Linked DNA regions of Mus musculus. The protein of the gene in region 3 purifies or fractionates together with the protein of the main gene of each other region. This does not show direct contact. Links are inferred from orthologs where the notes say so. Each region holds a gene or a part of one and is shown on either strand. Other genes may lie near its edges.

What was found.
Region 1: the proteins of Rhod (region 3) and Daam1 purify together in Homo sapiens (affinity purification with mass spectrometry; 3 studies listed by BioGRID and IntAct, counting the BioPlex papers as one, with this or other methods). This does not show direct contact. The link is inferred for Mus musculus from reciprocal best matches to the Homo sapiens genes RHOD and DAAM1.
Region 2: the proteins of Rhod (region 3) and Diaph2 purify together in Homo sapiens (co-immunoprecipitation; 3 studies listed by BioGRID and IntAct, with this or other methods). This does not show direct contact. The link is inferred for Mus musculus from reciprocal best matches to the Homo sapiens genes RHOD and DIAPH2.
Region 4: the proteins of Rhod (region 3) and Plxnb2 purify together in Homo sapiens (affinity purification with mass spectrometry; 3 studies listed by BioGRID and IntAct, counting the BioPlex papers as one, with this or other methods). This does not show direct contact. The link is inferred for Mus musculus from reciprocal best matches to the Homo sapiens genes RHOD and PLXNB2.

The regions. Positions count from the first base shown.
Region 1 is NC_000078.6:71,829,015-71,835,113, reverse strand, and holds the start of Daam1 (disheveled-associated activator of morphogenesis 1), read right to left. Parts: upstream 4,047-6,099; 5' UTR 3,783-4,046; intron 1-3,782. UniProt on the Homo sapiens protein: Binds to disheveled (Dvl) and Rho, and mediates Wnt-induced Dvl-Rho complex formation. May play a role as a scaffolding protein to recruit Rho-GDP and Rho-GEF, thereby enhancing Rho-GTP formation. Can direct nucleation and elongation of new actin filaments.
Region 2 is NC_000086.7:129,747,749-129,753,868, reverse strand, and holds the start of Diaph2 (protein diaphanous homolog 2), read right to left. Parts: upstream 4,128-6,120; 5' UTR 3,894-4,127; coding exon 3,753-3,893; intron 1-3,752. UniProt on the Homo sapiens protein: Could be involved in oogenesis. Involved in the regulation of endosome dynamics.
Region 3 is NC_000085.6:4,435,374-4,441,428, reverse strand, and holds the start of Rhod (rho-related GTP-binding protein RhoD), read left to right. Parts: upstream 1-1,985; 5' UTR 1,986-2,077; coding exon 2,078-2,209; intron 2,210-6,055. UniProt on the Homo sapiens protein: Involved in endosome dynamics. May coordinate membrane transport with the function of the cytoskeleton. Involved in the internalization and trafficking of activated tyrosine kinase receptors such as PDGFRB.
Region 4 is NC_000081.6:89,155,553-89,161,006, forward strand, and holds part of Plxnb2 (plexin-B2 precursor), read right to left. Parts: coding exon 5,333-5,454; intron 5,232-5,332; coding exon 5,055-5,231; intron 4,956-5,054; coding exon 4,816-4,955; intron 4,710-4,815; coding exon 4,609-4,709; intron 4,451-4,608; coding exon 4,221-4,450; intron 4,091-4,220; coding exon 3,909-4,090; intron 3,742-3,908; coding exon 3,675-3,741; intron 3,554-3,674; coding exon 3,407-3,553; intron 3,232-3,406; coding exon 3,075-3,231; intron 2,974-3,074; coding exon 2,873-2,973; intron 2,769-2,872; coding exon 2,684-2,768; intron 2,504-2,683; coding exon 2,349-2,503; intron 2,244-2,348; coding exon 2,083-2,243; intron 1,988-2,082; coding exon 1,840-1,987; intron 1,699-1,839; coding exon 1,634-1,698; intron 1,517-1,633; coding exon 1,441-1,516; intron 1,021-1,440; coding exon 946-1,020; intron 834-945; coding exon 729-833; 3' UTR 1-728.

The DNA.
Region 1 (6,099 bases), on a different chromosome or scaffold from region 3:
CATAAAGGACAATACACTCACTAAGTAACTCCAAAATTGATTAACTCCACCTCAGCCTGTTCTGCCAACCAGACTTAGAAGCCACAAGCAGAAACAAAAGACCACTGAAATGAAGCCTATGCAATCCCTTCAGCTCCTTAAAAAGGACGGACGTTGTGAGTATTTAGCTTTGAAATTATCCAGGACGTTTTCTTCCATTACTGAGTTAACACCAGAACAAGTGACAGTAATTCACAATCCTTATCCCAAGGGGGTTGGGGGCGAGGGGGGCAGGGAAGCACTCTCATTTCAACTGTAGTGCCCTGTAGAGAAAACAAGTTTGGCAACCTCAGCTGGCAAAGTTTTGTTTTGTTTTTTTCCTGAACTAATAGAAATAGACTTAAGATTTAAAAACACGGAATAGAGGATGCTAGGGAAGACCCCCCTCCCCCCAGTGGCAAGCTCTGTGGGTCATTTTCTGAACGGAACACCTGAAGCTCTCAGTGATACTGAGCTTCGTCCCTCCCATCCAGCTGCAACTTTGAAATGTTTTCACAGAAGAACCTGAGATCCTCAAGCCAAAACCATACTCTAAATATTTACAAAATGAAACGGTTTTAGTCTTAACTGGGTTTTGTTTTTAAGCACCTTATTTGTTCTAGGAGGCCAATGACTAACACTAGGAGCAGTGTTTTAAACAAAGTAGCTCTATCCACAAGCACACTCTCAACACTCAGAACTATCCACCAAGAGGAGAAAGCCAGGATTCCAGTTCCACTCAAGGACGTGACCCTTCTCTATCACCTCTCTCAAGATGGTTCCAGTTTTCCAGACCCACAGGACGTGACCACCGCATACCAGCTTTACCAACACCACACTAATGTCCTCTCCTAGACTTGGCCTGGACCGGCAGATCCTGTTTATAGAATCGCTCTGCCCCAGATGACAGACTGCGGTCTCCCAGCAACTCTAGGAGCCACTGGTGGCTTGACAAAAGCGGCTATCTTTGCCTTTGTCTTTCTCCTTAGTTTCCTGCCATCTGCCTTCTGGGAAAATTATCTAGGCCAAGGAAAGTACTACTAATAAAAGTATCTCTTTAAGTGTACTAAGAAATTATAACAAGAAAAACAATAACCTATGTAGGTGAATTAGTTCCAAAATTAGTTATAAAATAACTATATATATATCATTTTTATATTCATGGAAAGAACTGTAGCAAGGTGTAGGTACTAATCAAAAAAGGGGGGATTATTACAACAAATTACATAACTGTCAGGAGAAAAAATACAAACCTTGGATTTCTGATCCTCCTTAATACCCATTTAACACATGCTTATTAAAAGACCTGTTCCAAATTCTGAAATGGTTAAGAAGACAAAGACCTTGCCTTCAAAAAGCTTAGCACCAAGAAGCATTGACAAGCAAGCTAATAAACGAAGGACATTTTGCTGTCATTATAAATCCGAGAACAAAAATAAATACATAAACAAGAGAGTGCTAACTTGTGCTAGTGCTGCCTCACAGTGATGTAACTAAGCTTAAGACGGTGAGCATTATCCACTTGGCACAACAACCAAGTATTAACCTGCACATGAATGCACTTGCATAGACACTCCTATGCACACCATCCCCCATTTCTGAGAGATACCACACTTGGAAGAGAATGCAAACAGGAGATGAAAAACAAACATCTTAGTATAATTTAAATGCCTTTTGTTCAGTTAAGTTACAAATAAACTACATTCATTGTGAATCTGCAAACCATAAAATCTAAGCAACTAATTATGACTAAAACATAAAAGTCCAGATGCTGGGATAATAGGAGTATCAAGTGTATTATAAATTTTAAAATACTACTATAGCTGTCCTGTCCATTTATGTAACAGTTACCCCAAGGATCTTGGTTTGGGGGCCAGCAACACAAGTTGAATGCTACAATGTCAGAGCTGAATTTAAGCCTTGTGTTATTTGGAGGAGGAGTCATTTTCCAAGTCTCAAAACTTTAAACCTAAAACCAACGTTAGGAATTCTCTGAACTCCCCTGTCTACATTATCAATGAGATGACAGGTGCTCCCAGAGGTAACTGTTAGCCCACAGCAGGACATCACATAAAATGCTGGCACAGGACCTAGGGCTCCTGTTTTCAGCCTCCAGAGTTCCACTTTAAGGATCTTCAGCTGGAGTTTAGATTTCATAAAAATTGCAATGTCTCTGTTCTCCATACCTCAACTTCAATTATTAATTGCTCTGTCATTTACAGGTAATGGTACTTCAGGTAATTGCTGACCAGGGAGCTGTGTAGGCCTGGGAAGAGTGACCTTGTTAAGTAAATTGCCTCCAGCACTATTAACTATGATAATGATGGAAAGATACAGTTCACTCGTTGGAGGAAAAACATCTTCCAAATTTAGTTTACCTTAGAACAAAAGCCCCAGACAATTCGCTTTGAGATGATGTATAGGCACATGGGAGGGGACAGGTCCAAAAATATGGTGTCCAAGCTATGTAGGAAAGAATATGGGGGAGTCCCAGAGCTGCTAGGAGGGTGAGGAAGAGGGAGCAGCTGGGCCCAGGGCAAACATTTGACCACACCCCCCCGACCACACCCTCCCAGCTGCCCGCAGAGCCACAACGAATTGAAACAGCAGTGCGAGCTGTTAAGATTCCAAAGGCAGAAGTCGCCATGGCAACCGGATTCGTCTTGCAGGCAAACTATGCTTCAATTCACTAGGTCCGGCTCAAATCTCAAGAAACTACCAATTCAATGGGGGCAAAACGGTCACGGGCAGCATTTGCTCTGGATGCTCTCCCAACATTGACGGTGGAGGAGAGAGACTGAGAGGAGGAATCTATTTCTGAGCACAGTAAAACATTTTATGGGGAGGGGACAGAACGTCCCAAACCTTGATTGTAAGCAACGTGCAAAGGACCGTAGAAGGGTTTGATGAATGTGAGTAAATGAACGAATGGAGCTGACGCAAAAAGGGAAAAGAAAAGCCAGAAGACTTTCGAGTTGTCCAGCCGGGCCGGGTCCGGTCGGGTCGGGCCCGGCCTCGCCTCGCCCTGCTCTCCTCTCTAGTCAGAAGACAAGCCAATCCCAAACAGCTGGTTTGGGCACCAGTTAGATAAACCCGATTATCCAGCCCTCCTGCCCCCACAGCGAACCTTATCATTAGGTTATCCACCACCCCATCACCACCATGGTTCTAAGGAGAGCGTTTAGCCCACGCCCAGGTGCCCTTTGCAGGGCTCCATTTGGCAGAGCCAAGACTGCGATACGCCCCTCGAAGCAGGACGCGGGGAACCCCATCCAGTCCCCCGGAGACGCAGCCTCCCCGCGCCGCAGCTAGCCGCCGGCTCGCGGCCTCCGCAATGCCAGGTTTCCTTCTTCTCTCTGCACACAGTAAACTCGGAGACTGCCTGGATTAGTCAGCCCCTCCGTTTTGAGTATGACTTGACCCGAAGGTGATAGGAATGGTAGGGGAATCGCGGTCACGGCCATGCCCACGGATCTTACAGAGCCAGCGGCCCAGGAGCGCCGCCCGCTGCCGCAGCTCCCTCAGCCCTGGCCCCGGGGAGCCTGTGGCCGGGAAGAAGAGAGATGTACCCGGCCGGCTCCACGGCCACCGAGCGCCTCGGAAAGAAAGAAGGGAGGGACCCCATCCTCGGGGATGCCTTCCTTCAGGCTCGCCTCGCTCCGAGCCGTGCTGCAGCCATTTTCCAAAGCCTAGATTGGCAGCTCGTAGCTGTCTCGGTCCTGTTCCCACCCAAACCCAACCTGAAGGACGAGTTTAATATTTACCTACTGGCCCCGGAGCTCCGGGAAGCAGCAGGAGGGCGCGCCGCGACAGCGCGAAGAACCAGCACGCCCACCCCGCGCCACGGTGCGGTGCCGCTAATGAATGAGTGCGGCGGGCGAGCCGAGGAGTCCCCTCACCTGAGCAGCCGCTGCATGCTGGAAAGGCCGCTCTGCGCTCCCGGTACAATGGGATCCGGTTAAACAGTTCCCTTCACAGCCGCTCGTAGGTTACCAACTCGCAGGTGACATCACCCTCGTCTCCTCTGATAGGACACAAGGTGGCACCCACTGCGCATGGACGCTTTGACTCGCCTTTAGGATTCTGGATGTTGTAGTCCTAGTCCTACAGACAGAGCCGAAACAGTCTCTCCATCCTCACGCTCAGGAACTACATTTACCGAGGTGCATCTCTGTCCCTCTGTGCCAGCCCCCTCCCCGCCCCCCAGACCCGCCCCCTCCCCGCCCTCCAGTTTAGCAGAACCAGTGGTGGTCAGTCAGAAGCCTAGGGGCATAATGTTTGGGGAAGAGGGCGAGGCACCCAGCGGCCGTGCCCTTTGACTTGACCTCTGATCCTGCCAGCGGGTAGGCTGCAGGACCAAGGGGCGTCCTGAACTCGCGCACACCCGCCAGGCACTTCTGTTCGGTTGGGCTCTCCTGCCCCCATCTGGGAAGGGTCCATAAAAGCCTTTCTCTTCCTTCCCTGCTCAAAACCACTAATTCATAGGACTCCAGGGGTTCTGGGTTGAATACTGAATCAGTATTTCCTCACATCCCCAAGGATCAAACAACGCCAGCCGCGGAAAAAAAGGAATCTCCTTGAACCACACTTTGGGTTAGTTCACCTTCCTCCTCTCTTTCCTTTTTTCCCTTTTAAACCAAGACCGAGTCGAGTGGTCAAGAAGAAAGCTGGGGACAACTTAGTTGGCTAACCTGAGAAAAACCGGCGGCTGTCACTAATGAAAATGCTGTGTAATAGAAGACAGAGACAGTCACCACAATCCTGCGTCTGAAAGCCTGCTGCTGTGGAGATAAAACTATCGAACAGCCATGCTTTTGTTCATCCCTTTAGGGACTTCCCGCTCTGGTGGCTCTCAGCTCCTCCGAAGATAACATGCATATCTCAAAGTTTTAGTTAATTACTCATATATAAAATTTTAAAATCCACAACACTCCCTCCACCCTTGTTCCCCGCACATTTCCTTTCAAAAATATAAAAATTTTAAGACCTTTAAGCAAACAGTACCCTTCAAGGATTGCCCCCGATCTTCAGACACTTTTATGTGTATTCAAGTGTTAGCAAAGGGTGTGAAGTGAAATTCTGACCCTTCTGGAAGATTTTGGTTTTAATACATAAAAGTTTTCGGTTTCATGATCTCATTCAATAACACCAAAGGTGAGAAACTTAAATAGAGGGAACAAATGTCCAAGTGTGTGTGTGTGTGTTTGGGGGTGGGGGGGGCTGTATTCATTCCACTCTCAATGGCACTGCTGTGATCAGCTCACACGCCCTCTTCCACCAGCAAAATTAAGATTTTGCTTCTCAGGAAATGAAGACTGACAATTAAAATTTCCAACTACTCTTCACCTAATTGCTGGTGGAATATCACATCACTACTTATCTTCCCTTTTCTGCTTCAAACACTAAGGCTCAAGTGAAATACGTTCTTGGAACTAGAGGAGCATCTCAGAGGAGAGGGAAAATGATGGGTTTTTTTGTTTGTTTGTTTGTTTGTTTGTTTGATTTTTGGGTTTTTTTTTTTTTTGTGTGTGTGAAAGAGGAGGTTGCTGTTGGATTCTGATCGTCTTTTGACAAGCCTATTCTGTACAGAGCAGAACCGTTTGTCTCCACAGAAGCAGGATATAACTTTGTTGCTCTTCTGATCTATTCTATTTCAAATATCTGAAGTGGAACCTAGACAACACAATTGTTCCTTTGGCCATCAGAACAAGGGTACAAGCGGTGATGCTCCAACTAATGGGTAGGCTTAATGTATTGTTCAATTGGCTGTGGGAAAATATTCAGAAAGAAACCCAACCTCACATGGTTCTAAATGTTCCCCCAATCTTATAACTGTGGAAAGCTTTTAGGTGGAAACATAATCAGTGAGCTTGGATTTTACTGAGTCAATAAACTGAACTCGGAGCCTCTCTATCAGGCAAGGTTTGTCCTTAGAGATGAAAGCATGCTGTTAAGGCACTCAGAGAAATAATTTTATAGAAGAAATGCCCTCTCTGCAAGCTCTCTTAGTTCTCTGCAATAAAAAGGAATAAACTCTTGCTCAAAGGAAAAAAAAATCCCTTCTCTATAACAGTATTACGG
Region 2 (6,120 bases), on a different chromosome or scaffold from region 3:
TTCACTTTAACAATGTCCCCTGTTGCTCTTGTTCTCTTGTGTAGCCTCACTTGTCTATTGCACTCGTGCGTGCGTGTGTGTGTGTGTGTGTGTGTGTGTGTGGCGGGAGGGGGTGTTTGCATGTAATATATACATTATAGTGTGTGTATGTACTCATGTAATATGCATTATATTTATAGAAGCCAGAAGTCAATCTTGGGGTCATTCATCAAAAAGGAGTTTCTTCTTTTTTTTTTTATCACTTTCAAAGGAATCGGGGACCCCTTTGGTTAAATTAGGCTGGTTGGCCTGTATCTCCCCAGGGATCTGCCTGTCTTTTCCTACCTACATCCCTGTGATTATAAATGTGTGCAACCAGCATAGACTCTATACCAGATTGCTGGCATCAAACTCAGATCCTCAAGTTTGCATGAAAGCACTTTATCAGCTGAACTATCTCTCTAGTTCTAACACTGGACTCTCTTAATGGTTAAATCATTCCTTTAAGCATATGAGCTTTAAGACAGAGCATCTTCCTAACACTTCTCTAGGGCACTTTATCTCCTATTCAGTTTAACAAATTATAATACACGGTTGGCATCAAATTACTAATTAATATAAGAGTCATGCTGTTTAATAGCATGCTACAGTCTGGGCCTAACCAGAAAGTTATATAAAATCAGAAACTCTACTACCATATATTATTCAAAATGTACTGAGTCAATGAATGAACTGCTTCCCTTAATGGATGGATGGATGGATGGATGGATGGATGGATGGATGGATGGATGGATGGGTGGATGGGTGGGTGGGTGGAGATGTGGGGGTTTCATTATGAGGATACATATCTGAAAAACTGAAGTGAGTTTTATTACACTTAGACTCACACAACCTTAAACAGAAATCATTAAAGTTCTGATAGGTCAATCTGAAAAAAGTTTTCACTGTTAGGCATCAAAAATGCGGGACTATAACTAGCCTACAAAAATTTTACCTACAAAAATACAACCTCAATCCCCATTTTTCCAAATCCATAAGCAAATAAATGAACACAGTTGCACCAGTCTTATAGTTTAAGAAACCCTTAGACTACAGTGATTGAACTAATTGTTTTAAGGAGTTTCCCTCAATTCTCCAGCTGTCTTTTCCTTTGCTGTCTTTTGAACTGCAATGATTCTTTTTTCTTTCTGCAAGTCATGGATACTTCTAAGAAACTAACAAAAGGAAGAAAAGCCAGAAAAATAAACATATACCCCTTTTTTTTATTTAAGGAGTTTTGAGCCCCTAATAATACAATAACCCAGACAAATAACTTATATTGCCATAAGGCTGTTTTATAATCACATACAACTCCTTTACACACATTCAAAATTTGGAATTATCACAGTGAAGCATAATACATAGCATTAATATTTTTAAAATTTAGTCTAAGGGGGCTGGAGAGATGGCTCAGTGGTTAAGAGACTGCTCTTCCAGAGGTCCTGAGTTCAATTCCCAGCAACCATATGGTGGGTCACAATCATCTGTAATGGGATACAATGCCACCTTCTGGTGTGTCTGAAGACAGTGACAGTGTACTCACATACATCAAATAAATAAATAAATAAATAAATAAATAAATAAATAAATAAATCTTCTAAAAGGTCTTATCATACTTTCAAAACTTTAAGAATCCCAAGTTTACCAAAACTTGTTATTTGATCAAACTCTTTGCATTAAAATGAGTCATATTCAATTCCTGTTTTTATTAGCTGTGACACATTGGCTTCAGGAAATCACATAAAGCTCAAAAGTTATAGATGAGTAGAAAAAAAGAAACTCATGTTGGTATTGCGCTCTGGGTTCCAGTACTTGATTTGTTGTATCAAGCTGGGATAACTACAGAACAGTGAAGTTAGTTAGCTAGGAACTGAAAGTGATACTATCTCATAATCACCTAGTTACCTTGTCAAATCAACTAAAACATAAAAGATGAAATAGGACGAATAGCCAAAGAGTAAATGTTATTACTACTAGAGATAAATGCTTTTCCTTTACTATATTGAAAATTGGGAGATTCTTGCTAAATGTATAAAACTATTTATGGAAACTATTCCTTAACTTTTATTTTTAAACTTTTTACTACAGTTTATACTGGGCTAAGTAAGGGGAGAGGGAAAACAGAAGTAGGCTCACTCTCTTACCACAAACTAGTACATTTCAAAGTCACATTATCAAAACTTTTGACTGCTTGGCTGAGGCAGTGACTCGTGCACTCAGGAGACCCACGGAGGAGGCTCTTTGTGAGTTCAAGGTCAGCCTGGTCTACATAGCATGGTCCTGAACAGCCAGGACTTCATAGAGATACCCTATCTCAAAAAGAAAAGAAACAAATTGAAATACATTCAACTCGAACAATAAACTCAGAACTGTTTTTCTTGAATCCAGGATGGTGTGAGCCCTCATCACTGTGATAAATATTGCAGACAAGTCAAAAGAACTGTGACTCAGTTTCTTTATTTGTAAGTGCTTGGGGTAATAGGACACATTAGGGAAGTGATTTCTAGATTTGTCTCAGGTTTTGATGAGATTTTAAAGTTGAAAGATTACTTTAGCCCAAGTCCGTTCGCACATAATGGAAGATTTCATATGTCCTAATATTTGAGCCCTGTTTTCCCGTATGGACGGTCCATAATAGGAAAGTAAACCGGAGCCAGAAGAGAAGTGCAAGTCCAGACCAAGTGGCCAGATGCCACAGGAAATGGTTTGAGTTGCATGTCACAGTCTCACCCTCTCTTCTACTATAATCAAGTTGTTGTTTACAACTGAAATGTAGACGAGCGACATGGACTTGTACTTGGGATGTGGAGTAGGATTCTACTGTTCAAAAGGCTCAGGAGAGGCTCAAAAGTTTGCCTGCTGAATCTCTGCAGGAAACTCCTTTCTCCTCATGCCACTGAAATTAGAAAGTTTACCAAAAGAGGAACCCTTTTAACTGATGAGTTGAAGAAACCCCAGTATTTCCCAACCCAATACCAGGCCCCATCGATTTCTGGCCTCAGCAGGAAATGAGCTACTACTGGACCACACTGTCAGGACTGTGAGACAAGTATGGGGAACATAACTGCTTCTGAGCATTCTCAACCAAGTGGAAATGCTGTGCTGGGATGCAGGGGGGGGGGGGGGGTTGGCGGGGTTACCCAGCCTCCAACTCCTCCCACGCTCCCCCCAAGTCCCAGACTTCCAAAGAAATGTTTCTTGGGTGAGCACATGGGGGGTGGGGGGAACAAACGCACGCAGGCGCCTCTTTCTCCGATTTCTGGCAAAGTCGAAGGAGCTAGGAACCTATGTGGTGCTTGTCTTGATTTCCTTAGCTATGAGTGGGCTCCGATGCGCTCGAAACGGAGAGGAGGGAGGCTCCCCTGCCCGGGACCCCAAGTGTTAAGGGACCAAACAGCAACTGACAAGAGGTGGGAGGGAAATGGAATCCCGCAAAGAAGGTTCGCGCCCACAAGTTAGACAAACAGCCCTACCCCAGTACTCTAGGACGCGACGCAGGGTGTCCCCAAGTTGGGGTGGGGCCTTTCTCCTCCGCAAGCTGACCCGAGAGAGAAGGCCGGATAAAGTGGAGAAGGGGTGCTCTTCCGCCCCCACGCCGTCTCCGTTCCCTGAGTTGTGCGGCGAGATCACGGCTGCTGCCGGGAGGGGAGGGCCGGCTCCCAGGCGTGTTCCTGGGCAGGACGATCCGGGGATCTCGGGTCTCCGAGACCAGCGGGGCTTGCGGGAAGACTTACCAGTTTGGGTTTGTTTCTCGTCTCCTCTTCGTTGGCGGCCCGGTTCCCCGCGCCTCGCTTGTTGCTCCGGCCCCCGCCGTGTTCCTCGCCGCCACCGCCGCCGCCTCCGGCTCCCGACGCCGCCGCCCCGAGCTCCTCCATCTTTCTCTGGCCCTGTCACCTGCCGCCCAGAAACCCCAAGTCTCCTCAAGGGCAAACACCCCTCGGAGCGCTAAGAATGTCCCGCGTCCACGGACAGAGAGGGTTGCCCGCCAAGCGCCGCTCCCAGGCCACCGGGTCTCCCCAAGCCCAGGCAACCCCGACGCAAACCACGCCGGTGCCACCACTCAGCGCTGGGGCAAGCCCTGCCCCTAAGCAGCTGCAATCACCGCGGTCGCCTCCGCCCTCGGGGCGGCGTTTAGGGTGGAGGAAAAGTAGGTGCCTATCTCTTTAAGACGGCCTCGACACACGTGATTCATCAAAGTGCCCGCTGTCGGTCGCCCGGGCGGGCTCCGAAAGCCGCTTCCTACTCGTGGAGCTGAGCCGCCTGGGCTAAGACTGGAGCCTACCAGAGGACATTCTACTGTGGTTAAGCACTGATTTCACTTCCTAGTTGTCTAGCACCAAAAGGAAGGGAACTAGTCTAGACGGGTAAAAAGAGAGAGAGAGAGAGAGAGAGAGAGAGAGAGAGAGAGAGAGAGAGAGAGAGAGAGAGAGAGAGAACCCATTTTAGAGATAGGGAAACTGAGTGAGGAGGATTCTTGTGAGCATTTTACTGGCTAGGCCACAAGTATCAGCTTTCACTAGTGTTGGTCACCCCTACCCTCCCTAGGCAGAAGGCCCTCAGGGGATGTGCTCTTGCTTCATTCTGTGGGCAGGTTTAATTAGCAAGGCAACTGGCAAAGTATAAGAAAACCACCATAGGGAGTTCTGATTAATTGCCTAGACAGATTGTATGGGCCAAAGTGGAAAGAGTGGGTGCCTCTTGCCACAATTGCCTTGTGGCCCAAAAAAATACAATCATTGCTTCCTTTGCAGGCTGTTGGTTAAGGCCAACCTACCCCTACCATAGATAGCTTTTTAACCAAAGCACCTATTTAGAATTTACTATTGGACTGAATCCTATCTTCGATTTCCCAAGCTAGTTTAGGTTTAAGGTTATTGCAAAGAGTAGTACATAAGATTTTATGTGTTGAAACTTTGTTTAAAAGATAAATCTCTAGACAACTGATGTTTTTGTGTAATACCAGGGAGCAGCGTATACTCTTCTCTCAAGGCACCGCACCTAATATTTCATCCTCAGAAGGTAGATTTTCCCATTGTTTCCAAAGGAACCTTACAAAGGCGGGGTTTCAACAAACCAACAAACCATCACAGAATTAGAGACCAAGTGGTGGGGAAGCCACTTGTATTAGAAACTTAAACACCAAGTCTATAACCATGTCTATAACCCTACTAGTGACGAAGATAACTTTGGGCTGTGAGACCATTTGGCCTTCTCCAATTCAATTTGAAGTTATGCTGAAACAAACTTTTATCAGAATGAATGCAGTATGATAAATTTGGCCATCATGTGAGTGCAATGACATAAATAACTTGAATAATAGAGCAAAAGAATTGTAGATATCTCAAAAGCGCTCAAGTCTCAGCTTTTGTCTTTATCATTAAGTTTCTTTTTAATCCTGTGGACAGGCTGTCTACGTTACCAAAGTAGCCAATTACCCAAGGAAGGCAGCAGAGGAGTTCATGCTCTCAATACAAAGGACAGAAGCTCCGAGATACCTTTGCTTTCTTGAAGATCATACTTAACTACAAATTAGATGTGTATTTTCAATTTGACGCATTCCGCACATACACAACTGAATCTAAATTTCATTCCACCTAAAAAAGAGTAAAAACACAATAGGTTTTACAGAAAGATACTGAATGGTATTCCAACACCTACACGTACTTCCTGTAGAAGAAATGTGGGTATAGGTCAAAGTGAGGGTCTTGGAGTTGGAAGGCTAAAGCTGACCTCATGTCTGTCCCTTAGGCTATTGGAAGAAACAGGCTGAAAGAACTGCATCATGGGACAAAAACTACGTGAACAGGAAACTCCCAGAGTACCTATGTCAGAAGCTCAAGAGCGCCTTCCCTCAGAAGACAAGGTTTGAGCTGTTAAAGTTCTGCTGAAAGCCTTGAAGGACCAACGAAGTACTACAAATGTAGCTTATTGTCATAGAGTTCTCCAACTATTGGGGAAGATATTTTTTTTAATGTATTGACCAATTTCAAAACAGGCACAGAAAGCATTCTAGGCAGGCAAAGGGACTGAAGATAGATTTTTGCAGAAACCCTATAATTTAAGAAAACAAAGGTGGGGGATTGTTGCAAGGCAATGCAGCAG
Region 3 (6,055 bases):
AGCAGCTATCACCCATTAGTATGTGTTGTTATTATGAGGTATACAAAGAAACTATAACGTGTGACAGTTGTCAAGTGTGTCATTAGAGTGATTATCCCTATAGCAACCAAGGCCACCTCCGCCTGACTCTCAGCTTCCTCCACCCTTGGTCTAGCTCCACCTGCCTCCCAGACTGGCCTTATGACAGGTAGGGATGACAAGGCTGACAGCTGACTGGGGGGGGGGGGGCTCCTCACCACTCCTTCTGGGCATCCTGTTCAGCCACACACCCAGCTTCATGCCAAGTCCCGCCCAGCCCTGTGGCGGTTTCGGGAAAGGGGCATCCAAAAGGTGGAGCTGGGGAGGCTTCTGGGAGGCTCCTTCCATACAGCTGACCTCTGGCCCAGAGGGAAACTGGAAACTGCCTCCTTGAGACACAGTGAGGATCAAATAGGGCTGAAGGTCCTCTTCACTGCCTGACTTTGAATACAATGGGAGATGAAGTCATGGAGGTGAAACCCAAAGACTTCTGACCATGGTCCACTTAGCTTCCATTAAACACCCAGTCTGAGGTCTGGGGAGACAGGCGAGACCTTTTTCCCCTCTTTTTTAGACAGAATATCTAATCCATGCTGGCCTTGAACTCACTGAACAGCCAAGCTGACATTGAGCTTCAGATTTTCCTGGCTTCACCTCATCAGTATTGGAATTAGAAGCATGGATCTCCAAGCCCGGTTTATGTGGAACTGGGAATGGGACCGAGGCTTTCATGAGTGCTGGTTAAGCATCCGGGCAGCGCGGCTACATTTCCAGCCCACTTATGCTCACCAAAAGTTAAAAAGAAAAATCTGATCACAAAGAAGGTTGCGGAGATTTAGAGAAAAGTAAGATTTATTCCTGAAATCCAAAGTGCTCCACCCTCCAGATACTAGCTCCTCAGCCAAGTCCCGCCCTCTGTCCTGTCGCTAAGAAGTGGGGGCGTGGCTACCTTGCTCCAGTCTCTTCGAAGAGCCCCTTTTTCCTTTCTCCTGTCCTGACACCTCCTATTCTAGGCTTCTCAGAGTCGAGGTTTTGATCGGAACAGTGCAGGGTCCCCAGACTCTAAGAAACTAAGGATCATCTGCATTGATTAAACATTATACCAAAGAGCTGGAGAGATGGCCCAGAGGTTAAGAACATTGGCTGCTCTTCCAGAGGATCCCGGTTCACCCACATAGTGGCTCATAATGTCTGTAACTCTAGTTCCAGGGTTTCCGAGTGCAGAGGACACCAGGATGCATGTCTATGTCTATACATGCAGATAAAACGCCCACACGCGTAAAAAATAAAACTAAAAGGCCATCATACTATATACCATAATATGAACCATTCATGACATCTGCCATGTGCCAGAGCTAGCTCTGAGCTCTACAGATGGACGGTTCCATAGTTTTCCTTAGCTCACTGGCTGCCTGGGTGAGATGCGTGGTAATTCCACCTTCATTGAAACTTCCTGGAGCTGGCTGAAGAGGTCCTGCAGTGACCCACAAGGGCATGCCCGGGCCACTCCTTTCTCATCTGGCCTACAACATTTGGAGGAGGTCCGCAAATAGCAGAAACTCATATTCATTCATTCATTCATTCATTCATTCACCCACCCATTCATTCATAAAAATAACCTCCCACCCATGGCAGATAGTCCAGGTGCTTCCTCCTTCCCTGTCCCCAGCCTCTCTCCAAGTACTTGTCTACTCTCCCACGAGCCCTGGGTGCCCTCTGGAGGCGTAGGTCTCCGCTCACCCCTGCGGCCTCAGCGACTGCACGCAGTAGGTGCTGCAAAAGTCTTTCTTGAGTGTCTAGACAGGACGCCAGGAGACCGGACCCCAGGAGCGTCCACCCTTGGGCGGGCGCCGCACCCCCATCTTGTCCCGGGCTTCTCACCTGAGCTGGGTGTCCCCCGCCCCCCGGGCCGCCTCCTGTCCCGGCCGCCCCGCTCCCACTTCCTCCCGCCGCCCCGCCCCTTCCACATTCCTGTCCCGCCGGGCCAGCCCCGCGCCCGCCGCAGCCAGCCCGCCGCGTACCGCCTGCTGCTCCGCGCACCGCCGTCCGCCAGCCAGGGATGAACGCGTCCCAGGTTGCGGGAGAAGAGGCGCCGCAGAGCGGGCACTCGGTCAAGGTGGTCCTGGTGGGCGACGGGGGCTGCGGGAAGACGTCACTGATGATGGTCTTCGCCAAAGGGGCCTTCCCAGAGGTGAGTGCCCTCATCCTTGGCCCTGCGCTGGGGACACCCCCCATGTGCGGGTCTGCTGAGAGCTGCCTCGAAAGAACCCAGCTCTAGCCTCCTAGGGGGAAATCTCAGCAGGGCCTGGGGTCGAAGGCAGAGTTTTTCAGTTTTAGCCAGTAGAAGCAAAGTGGGACTAATAGCACTTAGGGGGAGGGGTGTCACAGGGACTGAATTGGGCCACCTAGGGAAATAGCAAATCCTACGAGAGCAGTTGTTGTCACTACTTGGCGACGAGAGTGTGAGGACTTTGGAGCTCGACTGGCAGCAGTAAAATCAAGCCTTTGCCTCTTACAGCTGTGTGCCTTTGGGCAAGTCCCTTAACCTCTCTGAAGGTTAACTACATGATAGGACTGAAAGCCCCTACCCGAGCGTAGTATAGAAAAGAGTGCTGAAAGTTAGTTGCTGAAAGTTAGTAAGTGATGTTCGTCGGGCGACATCACCTCTTCTCCATCCACTATGGTGCAAATCCCCATGCTTTACCCTAGAGAGGAAAACTGGAACACCGACCCTTCTCTGAAGAGTCTGATTATGCCATACTTCGACTCTAACCAAGCCTCAGTTTCTCAGAGCAACCTGATAGGGGGAAGAAAGCTGGGACAGTGAGGCTGAAGGCTGATGGCCGGCTCGGTGCGGTACCTGGTTGCATCCTGGCTCTCTGGGCTTGTCACTGTGAGTCCTCAAGGACCCCATGACCAGAACAGTGGCTGAGCCCTCCTTCTGTGCCTCCACGAGGAGTGGGGGTCCTGTGTGTTTGTGGGTTTGCCTTCAGCAGCAAGCCTTCTTTTCCTGTCCCCACGTCCTTCTGGCCTCTGGGATTGTGCAGAAGTGGGTAATTTGATGGAAGGAGCCAGAGAAGCTGACCTGGCAAATAGGGCACAGTCTTGCTTGCTACTCTGAATACCAGTGGTTTTTATGGTTGTTGGGTTTTTTTTTGGGGGGGGGGGTTGTATTTTTGTCGTTTTACTTTAGTGGTTCCTGTTTTGTTTTTGAGACAGGATATTACTGTGGAGGCCTTGTACGCTCAGTCCTCCTGTCTCTCGGCCCAAGGATTGCTCAGATCACGTGTATGCACCACCATACCCATCTCACAGCCTTTGGTTTTGTGGTTTGCAAAGCTGACGTCACCTTCTTTGACCAGTTACAGTTTTTTTGTTTTTAAGTATAGGAGATATTTTCCAGGTCTTTAGGTACTGCCCATGGGAACCCAACCAACGTGGGAACCAGGAGATCAGAGGAGGCACCTAAAGGTGGAGGGGGTGGGGAAGGCTCTGCAACACTGGCCTGGGGCAGGCATCCTAGACACTAGGCAGAAAAGTCCATGAACTGTTTATGGGGTTTTGTGTGTGTGTGTGTGTGTGTGTGTGTGTGTGTGTTCACAAGGTTTCTCTGTATAGTCCTGGCTGCCCTAGAACTTACTCTGTAGACCATGCTGACCTCTGCCTCATGAGTGCTGGGATTAAAGGTGTGTGCCACCACTTAAGAGGCTCATGAACCATATATGTTTTACAGGACGCACTGGAGTGAGTGGCAGAGGACCAGAGTGGTCACCAGGGGGGTGGACCAACCTTGTCCTTAGTCTTCCTTTGTCTAGGAAATCCCTGGCATGAGAGAGGGCTCTTTTAATTATGTTTTATGTTTTAGTTAGTTAGTTTTCTTTTTGAGACAAAGTCTTTGTATGTAGTCTACATTCATGTCAAATCAATGATCCTCCTGCCTCTGCTTCTATCGTGCTGTGACTTCAAGTATGAAATACCACTATTAGAAACAGGGTTTCTCTGTGTGTGTAGCCCTAGCTGTTCTGGAATTCATTCTATAGACCAGGCTGGCCTCAAACACAGAGATTTGCCTGTCTCTGCCTGGGATTACCGGTGTGTGCTGCAGCTGTCCGGCTGGTTTGTCTTGCTCGGTCTTGGGTAGGCCAGGATGACCTCAGATTCGATATGTAGCCAAAGATGCATATATATATATGATTTATTTATTTTATTTATATGGGTACATTGCAGCTGTCTTCAGATACACCAAAGAAAGCATCGGGTCCCATTACAGATAGTTGTGAGCCACCATGAGGTTGCTGGGAATTGAACTTAAGACCTTTGGAAGAGCAGTCAGTGCTCTTAACCCCTGAGCCATCTCACCAGCCCCAAGATTGCCTTCTAACCTCCTTGCCTCCACCTCCCAAGTGCAACTGCAGGCAGAGCCTTTTGAGGAGAACATGAGGGTAGCTTTGATCTGGCACTCAGGTCACCTTGCCCGCACCCCCCCACCCCACCCCCCACCTCCGCCTCTTCGCCCAGGGCACTCCATGACCTCTGAAGCCACGTCCACTGCATGGGTTCCTGTCTTCCAGGCTTTCTGCCTGCAGCAAAGGGCAGGGGAGAGAGTGGTTGGAGAAGCCTCTGATCTTCACTGGCTAACCTCCAACGTCACGTTCACGGCTGAAGGGGCAAAATAGAGCTTATGGGACAGAGAGACCTTTTTCCCCAAGGAGTCTCAGATGGCACTGAGAACAGAGCCATTCTGAATGGCTTACAAGACAGGGACAGGAGGTGGCAGAGAGCATCCACCTGCAGAACTATTCAAATCTGCAGTCCTCAGACTGCTCCAGTTTCCACAGGTGTCCTACCTGGGGAACCCTGCCCTCATTCTGTCATGGTCATCTCTCTGTGACCTCAGGAGGGCAGGACCAGGTCTGAGTCATCTCTGTCCTGGGTCAACCCAAGCCAGGCCTTGAGTCGCTTGCTGAACACAACAGATAAGATTAGGCACTTCTGCCTAGAGGGTGGGAGCAAAGAACACCACAAAAGGTATAAAGTCACATTCCAAAGTAAGAGGCAGGGCAGTGACACTGCTCAGTGACGAAGCCAACACAGCCCCTTCCAGCTAGCTCATCTCAGGTCTGGCTGATGTCGGGAGCAAGAACTGGTGACCTCAGAAGAGGCAGGTGGCTGTAGTGGCTCCTGAAGACACATACAGCGCCAGCTCGACTTCTGCCTAGCCCAGTTCCCTCAGAGCCTCTTGATGTTACTGATGTTGTGGGAGTCAAGAGTTTAGAGAGCAGTGGGCTGGGGTGTTCACAGGCATTTGTCGCCCAAGATCTTTGTTGTAGGCCCTCAACTGGTATGTCGGTGGCTACACTGGGTCTCTATCTCCACTGTGACAGTCCTTGCTCTAGGGCAGAGGCCGGAGACTACAGTTGGTGTCTTAATTGGGGTTTTATTGCTGTGAAGAGACCCCATGACTATGGCAACTCTTCTGAAGGAAAACACTTCACTGGAGCTCGCTTAGCTTCAGAGGTTCAGTCCATTATGGTCATGGTGGGAACATGGCAGTGTAAAGGCAGGCTTGGTACTGGAGAAAGAGCTGAGAGTTCTACAGCTTAATCTGCAGAAGACAGAAGGAGACTGTGTGCTACACTGGGCATAGCTTGAGCATAGGAGACGTCAAAGCCCACCCCCAACAGTGACACACATCCTCCAACAAGGCCACACCTCCTAATAGTGCCTCTTCCTATAAGCCAAGCATTCAAATACACGAGTCTGTGGGGGTGAAACCTATTCAAACCATCACAGGTCGGGGTGGGAAAGGAAATATCCGGAGGGATGAACAGGGCTGATGTGGACAATGTCACGCAGGTCTTCACTTTCCATCCTGAGGTGATCCTCTTTCTCTTAACCAGTGATGGTACAGGGCCAAGGCCATACACAGCTGGTGGTTGTCAGAACTGGGTCCTAAGCCATGTTCATTTGATCTCAAAGCCAGTGCTATCCTCGAACTACCCAGTAGGAAACAAATGCCAAGGGCAGAGCATGTACA
Region 4 (5,454 bases), on a different chromosome or scaffold from region 3:
GTGAAAAAGACAACTGTATTGGATTTACAATCACGATTTACAAAAAGGGTGGGTGGTCCTGGGGGGAGATGCTGCTCCAGCACCCCCAGATCCAGGCAGGGCCTCCAGGACAGCCTGTTTAACAGCTGAGACAAGGACCTCAGTTTTCTGGGTCCCTCTGGCGGCCACCTGGGCCCTGACGTCTGACGTCCAGCTTGACCTTAGAGGTGGAGCCAGTGATGACCCTCAAGCCCACCTGGAGTGCCTGCGCCCCACGAGGAGGGCCAGGTGAGGTCAGGAAGGCATTGTACCGCTTTTTCTTCTCCTTCCGTCTGGCAGACAGTTACAGTCCAGGAACCGGCTGTGGGAGCTACAGGCCAAACCCAGGGCATCTGAGGCGGCTGGGCTGCTGGTGCGTGGGAAGGGGAGGCCATGCCTCCACCGCCCCCAGTGGCCCAGTGTGGCTTTGTAAGGCACATTTGCGAATTGCTCAGGAGACAACACAGAGAACACCCGATGCTGGTGCCATTGGAAGGAGCTGGTGCTGACTCGGGCGCCCGGGCAGTATTGCTCAGGAGAAAGACGCTACAGTCTACAAGAGGTGGGTTCACCACACCCACTCCAGATGCCTTGGGTGCATCCTCTACTGGAGAGAGAGAAGAGCCCGGCTACAGCCAGTGCCATCTCAGGCCAACGGGCTGCCCAAGGCCATGGTACCACACACCTGCATCCTGAGGCGGCATTGACGGTCAGAGGTCTGTAACCTTATTCTCAAGCGCAGCAGCAATCTGCTGTAGGCGGAAGGCCAGTTGCATCTTTTGGGCTGCAGGGTCCTCCTCCAGAGCATTGATGATCTGGTGGGGTTGGGGGTGAGGTAGAGATGGACACAGAGGAAACCATGTCAGATCATGGGGGGTACATGCGGGCACGCTGTCCTGCATCCCGCCACAGGGACCTGGAGCATACCTCATCATAGTACTTCTGTGTGTATTGGTAGAGCTGGTGTAGGGCCACGAGTGTGTTCAGGGAGTCTGTGTGAGCCTAGGAATGACAGTATTACGCAGTGTGAGGAGAGTATAGGAGCCCCAAGGCCAGCCCCACAGAACAGCAAGCTGCAATGTGTTGGCCGTGCGGCACCATGACAGATACATCAGTAAGAGGACCACATCCTGGAAAGGCCACAGGCCAAGCCCACGCACGTGGCAGCGTGTGCTTAACAGCAGCCAGTATGGCGGGCACCAGGGTTCTAAGCACCTCAGTGGCTACATATCAGCCTCTACATACAGGTATGTTTGCTATCTCCTCAAGACTCAGTTATGGTCAAGGCAGCTTGCCTGTCCCACTTGCCACGCCCATTCAGCTACCCTCCACCCCTCTTGCTGTAGCATCTGTACTCCCGTGCCTGGCTCAGCAGTGGGCAATAGCACATGCGCCCTTGCTCTTGAGCTCTGTGGCCCTTACCCGGGAAATCTCTGCCAAGTGCGTATTCATGTCCTGGTCGCTGACCTGCACCATCTGTCTGATGCCCTTGTAGTAGCTGCAGAGGGAGAGGGGTGTGGATGGAGACAGGAGGAGGTGAGTGCATGGGAAAGAGGGGGTTGCTGGACCCTGGGGTCTCTTAGGGATTCCCCAGCCCCTCCTCCACATCACTCACTCCTCCACCATCTTCTTGTAGGTAGAGATCTCCTTAGCATACAACAGCTTGTTGCTGGGAGAGTCCTGCGGAAGACAAAAGCTTTTGACACTGGGCTAGCCTTGACTACTCAGTTGTCACAGAGCACTATCGAGGCTCCACCCCTTCCTGGACGGTCGGTCCTGTCCAGGGGCCACTGTCGCCTATGAGCACAGAGGCTTACTCACTCGGCTCAGCTTGTGCTCCGTGCGAGTACAGGCGTCCATGAAGGTCTGTGCGATGACTGACAGGGAGGCGTCCACCACTTCGTGGACGTGGACATCAAAGATGAAATGAGGGTTCTTCAGGATGTTCACCCAGAACCGAAGTGGTAAACTGCAGCGGGGAGACGGTCAAGGGAGTTGAGGGGGGGGTGCTGGGCTGTGGCCTTGGGGCAGACAGGGCGGAGGCAGGGCAGGCAGAAGCCTCACCTGTTGGTTTTCCAGATATGGATGGTATCCTCATCTCGGATGTCATGCTTCTCTGCCTGCTCGTCCAAGAAATCGAAGAAGTACTTGACGGCGGGTGGCACCGCATGCCCAGGCGCCAGCACGCTTTGGAAGAAGTTGTCCACAAACTGCTGCAGTGTGCCCTATGGAGGACAGCGGCTTGATGTGACCCCCCCCCCCCCGGGACACACTGGAGGCAATAGCGTAAAGGGATGCGTTCCTGCGACTGAGTGTTATCTATTTATTACCTTGACGGAGAGTAGCCGCGTCAGGTAGATCTCTGTGATGGCCTTAGTCCGCTCTTTCTCCTTCATGCTGCCGCGCTTGGACTTGCCTTCATCTACCTCATCTGTTGGCCGCACCAAGTGCCACACGCGGTTTTCCTCTTCCAGAAGGGCATGGCCTGTGGGGGTGGGGGTGAGGAGCAGGCAGCTGAGGGACCTAGTCCCAGTTCAGGTTGGGTGTGGCCTGAAGTTTGGTATGCAGGGTCTTGGGGTCCACTAGGGGGCAGCAGAGGGAGGGGAGGTCTCCACAGACCTTTAGGGACTAGAAGAACAAGATAAGAAAGACAGCATAGACTTACGCTCCCCTGGCAAGTCCTGTTGGCTGTCTTCTGGCTGCTGGGAGACTCCCACCTTAGACAGGATGAGGGTGGCTCCATCCCGGACCTGAGGACAGAGTCATGAGGGAGGGTTATGTTCCCACTGGGGAGTTCAGCACTATCCCCCTTGCTTAGGGTACCTCCCCCTGCTTAAGGGACCTCGGCACTCACGTTGTAGTGCATCAGGGTGTTGATGCGCTTCCACCGGCCCTCCCGCTGGGAGGTAAGGTCCAAGTCAGACAGAATCTGGGCCGTGGACCCAGGACGCCATTCTGCAGAAGGGCATAGCTCAGTTTCTGGAACCCGGGGCCATGCTCTGCTCATTCCCAGGCAGAGCTGGGCACACGGGGCCTCACGAACAAGTGGAACTCACCAAGCACCACACTGTCTGGCTTGGGCCAGCAGGAGCAGGGCTGAGTACGGTACACTTGGTCGATGATCTTCTCTTTGACCTGAGAGATGGTGTCACAGTTGAGGACCTTAACCGGGATGGCATCGATCCCTTCATCCTGAACAATCACGCTCACGGTCTGCGAGGGAACACAGGATGGGAAGGGCCAGCTGAGGAGGACCCTCGTGACCGTACCTCAGCATCGCAGAAACCCTTCCCAGGACAGTTTGGCTTCGCTCTGCGAAGTTCAGATGTGGAGTCCAGGTTCCTGGCTCTGCCTTCCTCTCTGCAGCCTCTGGCTCTGGGGGACTTACCAGAGGCGCATACTCAACATCGTCCCCGAGCAGGCCTGTGTCATTGAGGGTGTACTTGGCCTTCTTCTGCACAGCATCCACGGGCCCCTTTTCCACCTGGTGTTTGATGGCCTTGAAGAGCTTGTAGAGAGGCTCCCCTGCACTATCCTGGAGCGAGGGGGCTGTGTGAGTGGGAGGCACGGGGCTGGACCTCCTTCAAGGCACTTAGGCAAGCTTCGGGAGGGATGCCACCGATTCACCCACCCCTAGCTCTAGGGTCTGGGCTCACCTTGAGGTACTGGTACAGACAGATGGACATCCAGTTGGACAGCATCCTCTCCACCACTGTCTCAGACCTGAGGGTAAACAGATGCCTCATTCTCCAAGGCCCGGCTGGCTCCAGGAGCCCACGGCAATGCACATGTGCGCAAAGGGTGCTATGGCCCTTGTGAGTGGGCGTGCCATCCTGAATGGTTAGGTAGCATCCCCCCCACCCCCACCCCCACCCGCCATTCCCACGAACCTGCGCAGCATTAGCTTGGGGTTCTTGGCCACCACATACTGCTCCATGAGCTCCAGGAAGAGCGTGCGCATGATGTCCGTGTAGTACTCCAGCTTCCCGTGCAGGGCCACAGTCAGCAGTGATGCAAAGTAGACCTTGGCCCGAGCTGAGAACTCACGCTGATTCTCCAGGGTGTGGATGAACTGCGGGGCAGCCAGGGAGTGCACACTTGAGCACCTGGGCTGCAACCTTGCCCCACCCCTTACCTTAACCTTATCTTTCTGCCCCCCTCCTCTGTATCCCCCTCCCCGCCCCTGAGCCCCCTCTGCTCACATTGATGAGGAAGGACTTGCTATTAAGCAGGTTGGAGAACTGGTAGAGGGCTTGCTCCACAATGGGCCGCCGTGACTCAGGGATGTCTAGCTTGCCGGTGATCATCACATCCTTGTCACCATCCTTGGATGGCAGGAAGAATACGCGGTCGGTGTAGGTCTTGTAGTCCAGCGTGGGGATGCCTGCCTCATGCACGTCATTCGTCTGGTCCTCCATCTCGATCATCAGGTCTGAGAAGGGGATGCAAGCCTGGGTGAGGCGACCCCTGGCCACCTACTCCTGCTGCTCTTAACCCGGGCCCTCCTGCAGTTTCTGGCCCTAAGGGGTGGCCTAGAAGATCCAGGGATACTCTGTGGCTCCACCTGCCGGGGGAGGGGGACAGCCCCACCTGTGAATTCCTTCTTGCAGCGGTCACGCACGCTCTCCTCCAAGCCCTCGAGCTGGGATTTGATCTTCTCGTACTCGCGCTCGGCCTGCTGGCTCTTCCTCCTGTGGGGCATTGAACGGCTCTCTGGTATCAGTCAGCTATGACGGTCAGAAGCGCTGATGCTGATGCGGGAGGGATGAGGGGAGCCTTACCGGGGGCAGGACTCACCAGTAGCAGTAGATGGAGACCACGATGATAAACACCATGGGTACCATGACCAGAGGCAGGATGAGACTGAGCGGCACGTCACTCGCACGCGTGTCGTACTCCACTCGGCCTAGCACCCACTCTCGGGAGCCAAACTTCACCTGTGTGGAAGCTAGGGCTCAGCGCAGGCAGGTGTGGGCGGCGGCGGCTTCTCCTGAGAGGCTCCCCAGGCCCTCCACAGCCCTCCCGCTCTCACGCACAATGAACTCAGGTAGGTTGTGTGCCGTGTCTCGCTTCTGCCGCCGCTTGGGTGGAGGCTGCACCTCTGGGGGCTCGCAGTACAGGTCCGTCTCGGTCAGCGTCTTCATAATGCAACGCTCAGCACCCACAAATGCCTCTGCCTCCTCCAGAGTCATGGCTTTGTTCAGATTGGTTCCCTGGAGGGGGGATGGGTGACGGAGGAATGATCAGCGTGATCAGCGTGAGCCCCTGCCCCGCCCGACCCGGGACCCCATGCCAGCCGTAGGGGTCTTCTTACCCGGGCGTGGATGAGCTTGTTGACCTGCTTTTTGACGCCACCCGTGAAGTTCTCAAAGGTGGGGTCTGCCACATACTCAAAGACTCCGGCTTCGGTCCTGAGCGGGGCACAGTGACCGTCCA